Schizosaccharomyces pombe: one gene and its partner. Changing the gene in region 1 together with any one later gene gives a genetic interaction. Each region holds a gene or a part of one and is shown on either strand. Other genes may lie near its edges. The genes, in order: hif2 and snt1.

Region 1 (4,902 bases):
TTGCTTTATTTAATCATTAAAAGATGCCGTAAAGGATTTTGTGCCTTGCGGAATTGTCAAGAATTGTAGTATTACTCGTAAACGGTCGTGATTGTTATTTAACAGTAGTAACTGCCAAAAAAGACTTAGTTTTTTATTTTTAATAAAAGCCTTCAATATTATTTAATAAATAGACGCAAAATCATAAGCAAACTGATTTTAAATTCATTTGCGCATGCAGTCAATAATTATAAAAGCAAAGCAATACACGGGTCTTAGATAGCTAGTCAAAACAATAGCAATGCGTAAAAAAGTATTGATTTTGATTAAAACGGAAAGTTCATATAGGAAGCTGAGTATGACTTTCTAAATGGAAAAGTTCTTGAACCACAGGATGAACAAACAACACATATAGCTCAGAGATGCAAGTGCCTGAGACAGCTAAGCAGAAATAAGTCCATGGAAAACTTTGAAAAACATAAAATAAGTGAATTGAAAGGAACAAATAAATAAGGTATTTTGACAATGGACAGAGAAATTTGTTTGAAGATTCTTCCTTTTTACACGAATACAATTGGTACCAAGCAGTTAAGATCCCTGCTTGAATTGCGGTCGTACTTTGGATAATTGCGACCAACAAGTAATGTGAATCTGTAATTTTGTATGCAATAAAGCAAGGTATCAAGACAGCAATGTTTGGAATCACTGTTAAAAACTGACAGAAAAGCAAGTACTCCTTATGACCCCATGAACGTTCAATTTCAACGCCATACACCGAGAGAATGAGAATACTTGAAAGTAGCGTAAAAACATTAGCATCAACAAAACTTGTGGTAATTATTGTCCATGGAAACAAGAACAAAGCATTTGGAACCAAATGAAAACATAAAAGAAAGAAAGTTACAATAGAACTCCTACCAAACACTTTGATGTAGATGCTGATTCCAAATGATATTGCAGAAAACAATACCTCTAGGATAAGAAGCCTTTTCGTAACCGAAAACTTGGAGAAATGATTCATTGATAAATTTTAGGTAAAAAAAAATAGTAAAGTTCTCGTTACCGTAAAAATCATCGACGTCAACAATTTTGGTCTCAAAGTAAACAATACCAGGATACCTCTAAGTAAATGGTGCAATCCGAAATAAAATTTCTAGCTGTTTGCATCTAAAAAATAGAAACTCTTACGAAAACTGAATTGGCCAAAGATCGCTTCACTGGAATATAAGCATAATAAGAAATTGCCTATATGGATTAATACAGTTAGTAAATTAGAAAATGAGAAGTTGAGATAAGACACTGCACCTGGTTTTTTAATGCCTTCTCAATAATCTCATTTACAGGGACATTCGGTAGCGGGTAAGATGATAGGTAGGTCATGGCTCGACCAGATTATAAACATCCAGAAAATTACATAACTTTGTAGCTTGCCGATTCTAATAGAAGATAGAAAAGAAGTTTAAACTCGCTGATATATTTGTTTGAGCACAACCTGGTTTATCAAGTAACTATGATCGGTTCGGTTGAGGAGATAAACGCATTCAAAGTTAGAGTAAATAGTAAAGGGAGAAATTAATTTTTATTATATTTGGCAGTTTTTTGAGGGAAACCCTGATGAGAAATTGCTGCATATCGCTCTGCTGGGTTAAAACAAAGTGTTGATTCTCTTAATCGAATAATGTCTTAAATTATTAGTCATAATTCAAATCATCTTTTCCTTTCTTAGAATATAGTGAATGCATTGTTTAGAGCGGTCTTATATCAGAAAGAAGCATTCGCTTGACCTTGAAACATTTGTAATAGAAAATCACATTTCCTTAGCATGATAAGCGGACCCTGAATGTTCAAATTATTCAAATAAAATAGCAGTATATTTTAGAAATAAAAAAACCAAATAAGGCTCCTACCACTCTTGTATGGAATGTTGAGTACAGAAATAGCATACGAATTCATGAAAGTCAGAAAATACAATCTGGCTGCCAACTCCTTAACACAAACTTCTAAAAGTGAATTTTGATTGAAATTAAAAGTCGAAGAGAACTATTAGCATTGCCGTTTTAAGTTGTTAAGAGACCGACTTCAAAGAGGGAAAACTTTACTGAAATTCCTCGGATACAAAAAGTGGGCACTCGATTATTTTTATTTTGATCAAGCGCTGTTTAAATAGTAACCTACGTGCAAATAATAGAGCAGGAAGATTTAATCCACAGTTTCAGCCATCGCACGTATCTAGTTAAATTTCGGTAACTAATACTTCCACAACTACTAAAAACCGTCTCAATGGGAATTCGTCGACAATCCTTCAAGTTAAATCCGTATTGACAGGAAAAGAAAGAAAATAGAAGACTGTTGAGGTTTTAAGTGAAACTCGTTGACAGACCTTAAGATTTGACTTTAATTTACGTGGGTAGCTTGAACCATTATAGATTTAGAAATTGTGGAGGAAATGGATACGAATCAAGTTAATTATATAATCTGGAGATATTTGAAAGAATGCGGTATGTTAAATAGTTGGTTTTTGTGAATCATAGTCGCTTCATCTCTCCTTTTTTTCGGTTTCGTTAACATTATCGTGTTTTTTGTTGTAGGTTATTCGCATACTAAATTTGCATTTGAAAGGGAAACAGGCATCCAAAATTTAGACAAACAATGGGGAAGTACTTGCCAGGTTGGCGCTTTAGTCGAAATTCTGCAGAAGGGTTTACAGTACGTGGAGCTCGAAAAGCACTACGTTGATAATCACTCCTCAAACGAAGAAGCTAGCAAAACATCTATAGATGGAGAAAGTCTTGTAAATGAAAATCCTTGTAAACTCCCTTTCTATCTCACCGTACCTCATATATGCGAAACGACACTGACGAAAGCTGACTCTACCAATGGGTTTTGCGAACACAATAATTCTAATGATCACCAACTTAAAATTTTACAAGATAAGGGGTCTGGGTCGCCTTCATCTCCGGTCATGCCATTTAAGGATAAAATTGAGAAAAGGGATATTGACATTACTATGGCCGATGAATCAAACGTAGAGAAGGATCCGGCTCGACCTATAGCCGTGTACAACAGTTCACCTGTCACGGAAATAACAGAAATAAAACAGGTTACTTTTACTGGCGGCGAAGACATAAAGTCGGATTTTTTCAAAGTAATTCCTACCAAACACCCCGTTACCTGTGCAGATTGGCGTCCACTATTACAAGAAAATTACCATGTTTACGAATTTTCTATTGGTATGACAAACGCTACTCTGGCTTCAGTTAGCATTTGTGAAGAGCAAAATGATTTCAAGGCAAAAACAGATTATTGTCTGCAATCTTCTTTCGATAACCAAGATATCACTGGCGTTGCTTGGAATGTAAGGTTCAAATTTTTTTTTGAAATACTAACTTTTAGAATTCTGGTTCTTTTTTAGCCTACGCATTCTTCAGCGGTGTGATTGAAATTTACGATAGTCATGGTTCTCAAATCCTTAGCTTTCATAACAACAAAGGCCCTGTTTTATCTTTGAAATGGAGCGGTACTGATACATATCTAGCTGCTGGTTCGGCGGATGGAACTATTACACTCTTTGATCAACTGAAGCAAACACAATATTCAATTGACACACTTGCATCTTCCGTTTTAGACATTGAATGGATTAGCTTTGATGAATTTGTAACTTCGGATGTGGAAGGCTCCTTGCGAGTATACAAGGTCGATGGCAAAGCTCCGGTTTCTACAGTTTCTCATGCGCATGATAATTCTATTGTTGCTTTACGATACAATCTACGTATCTCTCTTCTATTAACTGCTTCTAGTGATACCACTGTTAAGGTAAATTTCTTTTGTCATTCTAATAATTACTGTTTTCTAACGTTTTGTATAGCTTTGGTCTAGAGGTGATGCTGGTGCTTTTGAATGTTTACATGTTTTTTCTTTTAGCTCACCGGTTAATTGTATTGACTGGAATTTGCGGGAAGGGACACCAATTCTAGCGGTTGCTTCAAACAGTATCGTTTCTATGTATAATGCTATTTCCCTTCAGCAACTTGCTGTATTCATGAGGCATACAGCTCCTGTTAGTGCTTTGAGCTTCAGTCATAACGGTCGCTATCTTGCTACTGGTGATACTTCTGGGGGAGTATGTATATGGTCATGCAAAACAGCCAAACTATTTAAGGAACTGGGTTCCGATAACTCAGAGTTAATTGCTGTTACTAATGTACTTCCAGAGGAGCAAGTTAATTTCTTACGGTGGAGTTTTGATGATAAAGATTTACTTATCGGTAAACAAAAGAAGGAGATTATTTGTTGTTGTGATTTTTTACATGATTCTCTGTAATTGAACCTAGTTGATCTTGTATATATCCATTTATTACAGTAGGTTCGTTGGGTCATCATCTATAGTCAAATATATACATATATATAATCATATACGAATTTTTATTTGAAGTTACTAAACTGGTAGCTAATATTTGTCAAAACATAATATGAACAGGAAACAATATGGACCGCGAAATTGTCAAGGTCCAATATCTATTTATCACAAATACCTTAATTATAGCGACGCTTTCGATTGCCATCTTGAAAGTTAGTAACAGGTATAATAGATAGCGTGAACGCAAATTAGTGGCTTCGTCTAACATAAATCAAAAGGAACATTACTATAGGTAAAGATAAACCGTACGTAGATCATTAAAATTCAGCAACGACTACTTTGGATCTCATAAAATTGAACTTCCAGAAAGAGACGTGACTTGGGAAAATACTGTCGGTTGTTGCGAAGTGTCTATTTGGAGTGAATCATTTTCATGGCGTACAATATCAATCATCTTCTTTATTATTGATTTTTCCAGGTCGGTGCGGTTTTGAAGGACTGCTTCAACCAAGGACAAAGGTGCATCCCAGTATGCTTCTTTCAGCAAATGAAAGTATTCGGAGACA
Region 2 (5,208 bases), on another chromosome or scaffold:
CGAACAAAACTAGAAAAATTATTGTGCTTGAAATACCGTGGAAGAACCAGCTTAGCAAAATCTTCATGCCCTATAACCAAAAACGAATCACCCCGGTCGCTCCATCGAATTAAGGAATCTGTCGACGAGTCGTTCACCATATTGTACAGTTTATTACTAAACTGTGTGATTTTCCTATTTTGTGAAGAACCTGAGCCCGACATCCCTACGGACATCGAATTTTGTGTCCCATTCATCTCCGGTGAATTTGCGCTGCTGGACTCCATTCCCTGATTCGTTCCGCCATTGCTTGAAATTGTCGATGCAGTCTGAATCATTAAAAATCAATTTATTATGGGTGCCGTTAATTTAACAAAAATATATATGTCCGTTACTGATTTAAAGGAATTCTCAGTACCTTCTTCTCAACCACCAGGGAAGAATATGCAGTTCGTATTTCACAAGGTTCAATCAAGATATTCTTAAATAATGTATACTTTCTCAGTAGCTTTAACAAGCTCTCACCGAAATTTGAAGCGGGTGTCGTTGGTTGATGTCAAGTTATATTTTGCAATAATCCACTACCGAATGATTACAATACACCATATATCATTCACCGGGGTATATCGCTAATTTGTTTAGTGAGGTCATTTAGCCACTCGGTATTTATTTTTGGTGTCGGTTTTGCATGCAACAAAAAATGCAAAAAATTATTAAATCGAATAAATTGTTATGTGTCAATTACAGATTAACTTACTAACGCTACTAATTAAGCGTTTCCGTCGCCGAGACTAATAACTAGATTTCACATGAAGATTTATTGATTGAAAAAATTCGTCTCTTGATAGATTTCGTAAACGATCGGCAGTCAAGTTATTATAGAGTTTTTACTTTTTTAATAAAAACTCACCATCATAACCCGACACATATAGAACTCTCACATTAAAAGTAATAGAAAATATATACAAAAGAAAAAAAAAAAAGGATTAAAGTAGAATTCGAGATAAGTCGAGTAAGGCATCACGTAAGGAGGTACCAATTTGCGAATTAGAAAACAAAACCCCTTCATATAACAACAAATGGTAAATAACGCCATTAAATAACACTAAACGTCACAACTCATACAATTTTATCGTTTTTGGACTGGCGTTCAACAATGTCTTCGCCCAATGCTGCTAATGTATGAATTGATGCTCGTGGAAATGATTGACTATTCGGAAATGCGTTTATGTCTGATGTCGTATGAGATGAATGTGTTGTATGCTCTTGATCCTCGACTGATAACTCGTCTATGCGTTGACTTTTTGCATCTTCAGACACCATTTTCAGTATCTTTGATATTGACGGTGTAATGCAATCACTAGCTCGACGGCGATTTGGAGAATCAATTTCGGTCAATTGGAAAGTAGGGCGTGGCCGAGGACCAGTGGAGGCTCTTCTTGGAGTAAGAGGCATTTTCATTGGATTCATACCTTGGGCCAACGAAAATATTAACGCTTCTTCTTTTTCATCCCAACCAGGCAAGTGCCCTTGGTGAGCAGACTCATCAACGGCGGATATGGAACGACCAACGGCAGACAGGTTCGCTAGAGCCGAAGCTGCATCCTCCTCCTTCCTAGTTGAAATACTGTTACGCTTGGAAGAAGAATGTTGTTCAAGCTTTGGTTCATAGTAATCCTCCTGCTTTATGGTATCCTGGCTAATATCCATAGGCTCGTCCTGTGTCGGCGTTTTCTCATGAACGGATTCTTTGATTTGCAGTAATGTGTTATTCCCTTCATTTTCAGCTGTATCATAAACGTCAACATCATGTTTGAAACCAGACACAGTCTCGCTCTTATCGGTCATATCAATAGACATAGGGTCAGGCTCTTGAGCTCCTTTTTCAATTTCATAAGCACTATTCCCTTCAACCAAAGACTTTATTTTTTCATCCATTTGTTCATCAGCATTGTGATTATTAACATTCTCATTCGCAGATTCAACATTTTCAACAGAGGGCGTATTATCCCAAGTATTCATATTATCAGCAGTGACGGAAGCTTCTTGAAATTGATTATTGATATTCTCTTCCGTTTTATTAATATCCGCAGCTTCAATATCAACCATAAGAGCAGAACCCTTGGACTTTTTCTTTCCACCTCTTTGAGAAGGAAGGAGCTTTTTTCGCCGACGACCCTTAGTTTTTGTTGCAGATGCTACCAAAGCTCGATAGTCAGTTGTCCTTTTTGTCAGATAATAATGTAATACACATTCTTTAGAGTTTTTTCCTGGCACTGCCTCTGCGATTTTACCAAATTTTTTTCCATGTAAAATAAATTGCTGAACGAAAATGGAATGCTGTTCTTCATTCCATATGTCAGGCATACTTTGAAAGTGATAGAATTTAGGACAATCTGTTACTAACCGGCTCTGATCATTAAAGTATTGACTTTTCACTTCTTCTTCTGAAAGTATCATAGGAGGAATAGTAGCAATTCGAGAGGCCTCAGATACATTGCTTGCTTCTTTTTCTTGCTGCTCGAGCTTTGCTAAAATCTCCAAAAACTCTTCTTCGGAACGAACTATATCACCAGCTGTAAAGTTGCTCATCACTTTACGTGTACTTCGTTTGATAAACGGTTCCGATTTTTTAGCATTCTTAGTTTTGTCTATTTCAGTCAATCTGTCAACCCGAGCAATATTTTCCTCCCACCGACCTAACACTTGTTTCCAATGGCTCTGTAAACGCTTTATTTTCTTATTAAGTACATGGCGTCTTTTTCTCATTACGCCGACAATCGTCTGCTTATCACGTTGAAACTTTTCTCTATTGAGATTGTAAAAGCTATAATCCTCAACATTTTTGAAAAGCTGATTTTGGGTCAAGGCATAGATATTTTGAAGGTATTTTTCTTGAAGAGCTTTTGTATCTTGGCTTTCTTGCAAGATGTCAGTGAGCTTTTCAGAATTGGTAGGAGATTGTGTAATAGAAGTATTTGTATCGGAATCCTCGTTGTTCATGTCACCAACGGGCGGTTCAGAAGGAAGAAGTCCCAAAGTGTATCGAGACATGTTTCGTAAAACATCTGGATGTTCTGCCACCTCCGGGGTAGTCAAATCCATCGTTCAAAAATGAACTTGATTAAAAGAAACTGTAAAAAGAATCTTTAATAATCAAACTTCAGGTCCCGCTTAGTATGCCGATATGTGTGGTGGAAAGGTAAACCATTTAGGGTATGCCATCTTTAAATGTCAGAGGAGGCACTACAGCTTATTTCGAAGTGAATATCATAATTTGCATGTTTAATATATCATTTTAAAAATTATTTATTTAACAATGGTTTAGTATAATTTTTCTCTAAACGTTGAATGTACAGGTTTATGCCCAATTATGACTAGTAGCCGACCAGAAAAGCAAGTTCGAGGCAGCATTTCAATTGATAGATACTTCTTAATACACAAGACCAACTAGTTACAAAAAACTCTGGTTAAACTAAGATGTTTTAACTACACTTTCCAAGGAATCCCCTTCATTTCCAAAATACAAACAATAAAATTAACCGCTAAACCTAATAACTCAAAAAAATATTGAAATGGTCCTTATTTTTGAGATACTATTTCCCAATTCTCCAGCCATTTAGAGAACCAAGGAGTAAAGGAATCTTCTTGAGCCGAAGAGATACAAATTTTGCAAAGGTTTCTAGCAGAACGATGAAAATTATCAAGTTCATTTTCAAAATTTTCATCGTCCTCTTGTATTTGTGCCACAATGTCATCTATTGAATCAGAAGTCTGCTTGGCAGCATTAAAAAGTTCACCCAAAAAAGTGTTAGGGTATTCATTTTTTATTCTTCTCTTCTTTATAGAAAGAAATAAAATTTTGCAAGCATTAAGCTTTTGTAGTAACGAATTGGCGAGTTGAATCTGTTCTTCTGACCGAAAAACCTCTTCCGAATGTGCTTCTTTTGAGTCATCTTCACTTTCACTACCAAAATCATCCCAATTTGAATCGTCTCCCTCCTTATAATCTTCTAAGTCACTACGAGCATCTTCAAGCATTGAGACAAAATTATCCCATTCTTCAAGCATATAACCAACTATTCCTTCCGACCCCAATTTTTCTATTTTTTCACAAGACTCCCACAAAATTCCAGTATCTATTAATCTACCTCTTGTCTTCCAATCTTCTGATATATACCCTAACGGTTTAGGAGATACGCTTCGTAACAGTGCTTCAATTCCAAATAAGACGCGTTCGGCATACATTTTGAGTCGATTTTGAATAATTTCTCCATACTTTTCTGCATTGAATACTTGAACAGCTGCAATTAAAGGAGTAATCGTTGTAGCCATATCATTAGCATATTTTTCAAGTGCATCTCTAGTGATGGGCGGTTTTGCAGCTACAGAAAGTTTTGTAGTATATTGATGAATTAAAGTGGCAACATCTTTAAGCATAGAAAGAGGGCTTTCAACTAATTCGGAAGGTAATTCAATGGGCTTCATATCATCCAGACATTTTCGAGCAGTGACTACAATCTTTAAAACATTATTCAAGGATTTCACTATTTCATCTACAAATTAGCTAAAATTGATGATAAAATCAATCGTACCTTCCTCTGCTTGATTCTTTACCATAGTGTCAGACATTAAGAAAGTATATTGGCAAAAAGCAACTTGCTCACTCTACCTAAGCTTTAAGTGGATACTCTGTAAGATTATATATTTTAGTCAATGAAAATCTAACTCCTTTCTTGTATACACATACTAAATTCTGTGTAAGATTATATTTTTTTTTTTCAACTCAGGAGCAAGAGTTTTAAGAAATCAAACAAGTAGTTTTTCAAAATACTAATTTATTAACTATTAATGGCTAAACAAAGGTTTTTTTTAAAAATTCTCTAAGTAATAAAACGTACGAGCTTAACAGTAAAAAAAATAAGAAAAAGTTAAAACGATCTATGGCAAATGATAGGTTCTGTAATAAACAATCCTTCAGGAAGCAATTTTTTACAATGATAAATGAGTAACTAACTTTAACAACGCACTGATAAACCATGCACTTGTGTTTCTCTACAACGCTAACTTCGCAGTTCTTCCTTCCCACCACTACCCACCACATTTACCTTCCACAGTGTTGCAGTCGAAATTGCAAAAATGACTGCTACTAAGGAAGAATCTCAAAAATTGCTTACATCTTTACGCTCTCAACGGGATAATAAGGTTGGCTAAATCATTCAAGACTTT

Evidence for each region.
Region 2: of hif2 (region 1) and snt1, changing one enhances a phenotype caused by changing the other (phenotypic enhancement), as found in Schizosaccharomyces pombe (one study listed by BioGRID).

Annotation. Positions count from the first base shown.
Region 1 is NC_003421.2:192,127-197,028, forward strand, and holds hif2 (Set3 complex subunit Hif2), read left to right. Parts: upstream 1-2,237; 5' UTR 2,238-2,425; coding exon 2,426-2,477; intron 2,478-2,567; coding exon 2,568-3,334; intron 3,335-3,372; coding exon 3,373-3,792; intron 3,793-3,844; coding exon 3,845-4,300; 3' UTR 4,301-4,402; downstream 4,403-4,902. Other genes in the region: protein pdh1, read right to left, coding at 320-1,000; sec6 (exocyst complex subunit Exo3), read right to left, coding at 4,683-4,902.
Region 2 is NC_003424.3:5,054,584-5,059,791, reverse strand, and holds snt1 (Set3 complex SANT/Myb domain subunit Snt1), read right to left. Parts: upstream 3,172-5,208; 5' UTR 3,085-3,171; coding exon 1,099-3,084; 3' UTR 739-1,098; downstream 1-738. Other genes in the region: DNA-binding transcription factor Hsf1, read right to left, coding at 1-317; SPOM_SPAC22E12.18 (uncharacterized protein), read right to left, coding at 3,562-4,535, 4,575-4,611; glo3 (ARF GTPase-activating protein), read left to right, coding at 5,119-5,184.